2 linked regions of the Ovis aries genome follow. The protein of the gene in region 1 purifies or fractionates together with the protein of each later gene. This does not show direct contact. Links are inferred from orthologs where the notes say so. Each region holds a gene or a part of one and is shown on either strand. Other genes may lie near its edges.

Evidence for each region.
Region 2: the proteins of LLGL1 (region 1) and PARD6B purify together in Homo sapiens (affinity purification with mass spectrometry; 5 studies listed by BioGRID and IntAct, counting the BioPlex papers as one, with this or other methods). This does not show direct contact. The link is inferred for Ovis aries from reciprocal best matches to the Homo sapiens genes LLGL1 and PARD6B.

What each region holds. Positions count from the first base shown.
Region 1 is NC_056064.1:34,146,685-34,149,363, reverse strand, and holds the end of LLGL1 (lethal(2) giant larvae protein homolog 1), read left to right. Parts: intron 1-81; coding exon 82-542; intron 543-745; coding exon 746-855; intron 856-1,046; coding exon 1,047-1,167; intron 1,168-1,312; coding exon 1,313-1,391; 3' UTR 1,392-1,399; intron 1,400-1,602; 3' UTR 1,603-2,163; downstream 2,164-2,679. Other genes in the region: FLII (protein flightless-1 homolog), read right to left, coding at 2,341-2,475, 2,561-2,626. UniProt on the Homo sapiens protein: Cortical cytoskeleton protein found in a complex involved in maintaining cell polarity and epithelial integrity. Involved in the regulation of mitotic spindle orientation, proliferation, differentiation and tissue organization of neuroepithelial cells.
Region 2 is NC_056066.1:78,710,568-78,714,087, forward strand, and holds part of PARD6B (partitioning defective 6 homolog beta), read left to right. Parts: intron 1-1,917; coding exon 1,918-2,140; intron 2,141-3,520. UniProt on the Homo sapiens protein: Adapter protein involved in asymmetrical cell division and cell polarization processes. Probably involved in formation of epithelial tight junctions.

The DNA.
Region 1 (2,679 bases):
TGGGGGCCAGGCTAGACTGGGGATACTGGGGTGTGTACTGGCCCGGGCTCTGCTTAGTACCCACTCCCCACCCACCTCCAGGTGTTCACGCTACCCAAGGTGAGCGCCAAGACCAAGTTCAAGCTGACAGCCCATGAGGGCTGCCGCGTGCGCAAAGTGGCCCTGGCTACCTTTGCCAGTGTGGCCTGCGAGGACTACACGGAGACCTGCCTGGCCTGCCTCACTAACCTGGGTGACGTGCACGTGTTCTCTGTGCCGGGCCTGCGGCCCCAGGTGCACTATGCCTGCATCCGCAAAGAGGACATCAGCGGCATCGCCTCCTGCGTGTTCACACGGCATGGCCAGGGTGAGGCGGGCAGGCGGCTACAGTCAGGGCTTCCGGGAGGCAGGGACATGGCCCTTTACTGTGCTTCCTGCCCCCTCCTAGGGTTTTACCTGATTTCTCCCTCGGAGTTTGAGCGCTTCTCCTTGAGTGCCCGGAACATCACCGAGCCACTCTGCTCTCTGGACGTCCGTTGGCCCCGTGATGCCACCTGTGTCAGGTGCATGAAGGGGTAGCCCCTGGCCGGGGGTTGCAGCGCTGGGATCAAGGCTGGGCTCATTCCATCCCCCAATTGAGCAAGCAGCAGGGTGGCCCTCCCCGGTCATCCCTCTGGCCCCAGGGCTCAGGAATGGGAGGGCGGGGGTCTGGTTCTCAGGCCATGAGATGCCTGCCTAGGGTCTGCAGCACAGCCCATCTCTGCAGCCACAGGTCCCGAGAGTCGCCCAAGCTGAGCCAGGCTAACGGGACCCCGGGCATCATCCTGGCCCCACAGAGCCGTGATGGAAGCCCCGATCCCATCTGCAAGGAGGCTGGTGAGGAGGCCGCGCGTTAGCTGGGCAGCTTGTCTCATGGCGGTGGGGGTGCTCTGCAGGAGGCAGCTCTCCAGAGGGTCCAGGGAGGGGTGGGTTGGTGCCATGGTCCACTGTGGGCTGGTTTGGGGCCAGGTCAAGTGTGGACGGGGCCTTGGAGCCCTAGAAGGACCCTGTTCACTTCCTCCCTGCAGACACCCTAGAGCCACCTGAGGCCATGCTCTCACCTATGTCCATTGACTCGGCCACCAGTGCCGACACCACACTGGACACAACGGGGGACATGACGGTGGAGGACGTAAAGGATTTCCTGGGGTGAGGAGCTGGCTGGGTCCACAGGAGGGGCTGGTCGCTCCCAACTTCCCTCCCCAACCCTTCAGCCAACCTCATACCCCAGCTGGGCATGAAGGACCGAGGAGGGCCTGACCCCAGATCTGCTGACCGCTGCCCCTCCCTGCAGCTCCTCAGAGGAATCTGAGAAGAACCTGCGGAACCTGTCAGAAGAGGAGGCTCGAGCCTGTGCCATCCTGATCAAATGAGGCTGCAGGTGCGTGGCCTGGTCCTGAGTCAGTACCTCCCCAGCCTCTCCCGACACAGACCCTGTGGCTCCCTCTGTGCCGGGGTCACTGCTGCCCCCTCCCTTGCCTCGGGGTTCAGGCAGTTGGAGACTGGTGGTGGGACACGTGTGGCCAGGCTGCCTGCCCCGTTGGATCTCCCTGGTCTTCTGCTGATCTTGTTTCTCTCTGCTAGGGAGGCCAGAACTGCCGGGTCACCCTGCCCTGCTCGGAGCTGGAGCCAGGGGCCTGGTTCTCCATGCAGACCTGCACCTGCTAACTTCGGGGTTCTGTGGGGCTTGCCAGCCTGGCCCTGAGCCTCAGGACTCCACCAGGCCCTGCCTGCAGGCAGAGGCCACCCGGAAGGTCAGGCGCCACAGGGGAGGCCGCAGGGCTCACGGCTACCACCTCCCAGGCCATGTGCCGTCCCCCCTTCTCCTTTTACAAAGAGTATTTTTCTAACGCCTGTGCCGGGCACCACAGTCATTTCTAAAACTATTTTGGTACTTGCTCCTGGGCCAGCACCCCCTCGACCCCCCTGCTGCGTGCAAGTATGTGTGTGAGAGCTCCACTTGGGAACCAGGACCGAGGCCTGGCCTTGTGTGCGCGCGTGTGTGTGTGGTGGGGGGTCAGGATGGGTCTCCCGTACATTGTACTTTGGGGGGCTTTTTTTCTGTCATTTTTGTTAAATTAGCATTTTAAAATTAAAAATACTGATTTTTAATATTGAAAATAAAAGCATTTAATATCTCTTAAAGGGCAGCCACACCTGCTTTATCCCTGGCAGAAGAGGGGAAGTCACACGTGAGCTCAGAGTGGAGGGAGATTGCCTTGCCAGACCCCTGGAGACACTGGTTAGGGTCACCCCACTGGTGGCGCTGGGGACGGTGGCACTGGGGCACTTATCCCTCCATAGAGGTGGAGTGCGGTGGCCTTAGGCCAGGGCCTGGCGGAAGGTGCTCCAGGCGTGGAAACAGCGGGTGAAGGCGTGCTGCTCATTGCCCTTGCGCACGAGGCGCAGGCGGCGGGGCCGCTCGTGCTCCTTGGAGCGCATGTGCTGGATGTACACCTGGGGGGGTGGGCAGGGGGTTGGTGAGGGCAGCCCCAGCCTCGGCCCCTCCGCCAGGCCCAGCCTCGGCTCCTCCCCTGCTCACCTGGCAGGCCTTCAGGCTCAGCTTGATCTCCACCTGGCTGGTCTGGGATCCCACCCACATGTAGACCTGTGGGGACAGCAGGGTACGTGGTCTCCTAGCCTCAGAATGCCTCTTTACGG
Region 2 (3,520 bases), on another chromosome or scaffold:
AGCCCTAAAATATTCAATTATTAGCTGTTACTCCCGTTCACCAGGGGAAGTAATAAAACCTGGGGATGAATCAGAATGCACTGGGATGTTGCGATACCAGAATAAAGAAAATGGAGGAGAAACTATGACTTTTGATAACATCATAAGACTGACTCTGATATGAAGGGTGTTCCTCAGTTTTTATTTACTTTGAAACGTGAAGGTGTGACTAAACTTTTTGAGTGCTTTAGGTGTGAGTCACCTTATTTTCTTGACAAATGTTAGTGTTTACGTTTGAGGAATGTGTTTCGGAAACTTTTAATTTATTAGAAGTAAGAGGTGGTTTCAGTGAGTTTTCATTTTAATTGAAAACTAGCAAATAGTGTGGGTATAAGCGAGGCAGATACACTTGCCATAACAAAAGCGGTGAATCCAGGGAGCCCACGGGACCCTTGGGGACGTGAACGGACACATTTGTAACCAAATAATTCCAGTAGGGACTTTGCCTGCATGATGTTTAAGGCCTTGTTGGTAGTACAGCTAGTGTTACTGTCCAATAATAGATACTTAGAGGAAAAAGGAATTCAGTGGTCAAATGCATTTGGCACACAGTTTGTTTTGAAAATTTTTTCTGTTTTAATCAACGCCAGGGCTTTACCTCGCCTTTAATAACTGGTCTCCCCAGTGATTCCCAAGAGCATGATTATAGTTATATAGCATTTCCCAAATGTGTGTGACTGGGGCACTTTTTGAGGAAGGCTGATGAATCTTTCTTAGGTTTCCACATTTGAGGAAATGCTGTGCTGGTTCCATAGTAGGTCACAGATCCTGTTTGTTATGGACTGGATGAAGCCAGTCCTTCGTGTCAGATAAGAACCACCGAAATCATGCGGCATTTGGGTTCTAGAGTAGGGAAGCAGATGTGAGTATGAGAATTGTGAGGATAAATACTGGGTATGATGGAAGTGCCGTCCTCCCTGTTTGTGTGGTTCCTTAATACCGCTCATATAATTATTCTCTTTACCCACTAATTGCTGAGCTCGGGTGCAGGCCCGAGCCTTTCATTCTCTAGGGCCTAGCACTGTGCCAAGCACATAAACACTTTTGCATTAATTGGACGGTTGTACGACATATATTTAATGTATTAATAAAAGTGCCCTTTTTTTAAAGATTAACATACGGAAGACACTTCCTGTCTTTAGACTCATTTCTCCTATAATATGCCTCCATTCATATGGCGCCTTGCTGCCAAGAAGTTCAAAGTCCTGCTTGCTTGTGCTGCAGTTAATTCCTGCCACTTCCTATGAAGCTGTTACTCCTTTGATTGGGGAGGAAACCTGGATGCTTTTTGCTGACAGTCAAAATAAAGACTTAGGCTCATCTCTGTTACCCCGTGGCCTGAGTGAGGAGGGAAGACTGTTGTCAGGATCCAGACTCCACACAGGGTTTGTTTGAGCTGAGTCACTCTGCAGGACAGTCCCCAGTGGGGCCTGGGTACCCCGGGGATTAAGTCGAACCTGCATCTCTTGAAGGGGATGCCCTTCAGAGATACAGCAGTGAGCAGGCACATTTCTGTGTCTCCCCTAGGCCGTTTTATCTCCAGATAATGAGGTTTCTAGGGGCTTCCCTGGTGGCTCAACTGGTAACAAATCCGCCTGCAATGCTGGAGACCTGGTTCGATCCTTGGGTTGGGAAGATCCCCTGGAGAAGGGAAAGGCTACCCACTCCCGTATTCTGGCCTGGAGAGTTCCATGGACTGTATAGTCCATGGGGTCGCAAAAGAGTCAGACATGACTGAGCAACTTTCACTTTCAGTGAGGTTTCGACTGTGTGGTTGAAACTGTCTTCTTTATTAAAGGAAACTCGTATCTGTGAATTTTTCTATGTCATGCCTTGTAAGATTGGATCCTGTTTTAAAATTAATATGTTTGTTTGTAGTTTGGAGCTGAATTTCGCCGGTTTTCACTGGAAAGATCAAAACCTGGAAAGTTTGAGGAGTTTTATGGATTACTGCAACATGTTCATAAAATACCCAATGTTGACGTTTTAGTAGGCTATGCAGACATCCATGGCGATTTACTACCTATAAATAATGACGACAATTATCACAAAGCTGTTTCAACGGCCAACCCACTGCTTAGGATCTTTATACAGAAAAAGGGTAAGTACCAACATCCAGAGAAGTTGTTTGAGAATTAGAAGTTGTTAATTTTCCTCATTGATAGGATATACAGAGTTTGCCACAAATTTAAGGAATTAGACATTTTATGTGAATCTTATTAGCAAATTAACAAGTGAGTTAAGACATCTGTGATATTATTGGTTTATTAACATCTTTACACTTAATTAAGTGCACTTTAGAAAGTTGTGATTACTTTGTAAACCTTTAGATTCTTTTTCTTAATGGAAATTAGGAATATATTGAATCTTCGCGTTGAATGTGATTTTGTCCATTCAGAAAGATGTGGTAGGAAGAGTGTGGCTTTGGAGTCAGAGAAACATTCTCGACTTCCCTGGTGGCTCAGAAGGTAAAAGCATCTGCCTACAACTCGGGAGACCTGGGTTCGATCCCTGGGTTGGGAAGATCCTCTGCAGAAGGAAATGGCAGCCCACTCCAGTATTCTTGCCTGGAAAATCCGATGGACAGAGGAGCCTGGCAGGCTGCAGTCCATGGGGTCGCAGAGAGTCGGACACGACTGAGCGACTTACGTATACGTACATAAGGTGACTCTGGTGGTAAAGAACCCGCCTGCCGATGCAACAGACATGAGTTGGATCCCTGGGTCAGGAAGATCCCCTGGAGGAGGAAATGGCAACCCACTCCAGTATTCTTGCCTGGAAAATCCCATGCACAGAGGAGCCTGGAGGGCTGCAATTCATGGGGCCACAAAGAGTCACAACTTTGAAATACTGTGTTTACTACTTACTAGGTACTTGACGGAAAGCTATTTACTTTTCCAGGTTGCAGTGTCTTTATCTACAGGAGGAGCATGCCATCTCATGGCATTGCTGGGGGTTTAACTGAGCTCAGTGCTTCCGGGTTTCAGTGTCTTTATCTACAGGAGGAACGTGCCATCTCATGGCATTGCTGGGGGTTTAACTGAGCTCAGTGCAGAGCCTTGGCGTGTACTAGGCCTCCTCTAACTGTTGGCTTTCCTCTAAGGTGTTTCTCACAGAAAATACAATTAGTTAATTATCTGAAAATTAGTAAGTCATCATTTTGGAGGAATGTAAACATTGATAATTGGTCTTGCAGAAGAAAGTTTTAAATAACCACTGTATATGGCAAGCACTGCAACGTATTTTGACTTTTAAAAGCCCTAAAAAGATTTGTTTTGCCTTTGTGGCCTCTTCCGTGTGTGTCTCTGTGTCTGCCTGTAGATGGGTGCCATGCATGCTTCTGCTTCCTTTGTCTTTGGAAAATGAGGAGGTTTGGAAAGGCAGCATGACAGACTCCAGCCCAGCACTGGTGGGATGATTAAAGCCTGACTGTGCTTGTAAACCAACCCAGCGAGCAGTCAGAGAGTGGGCTGAGATTACC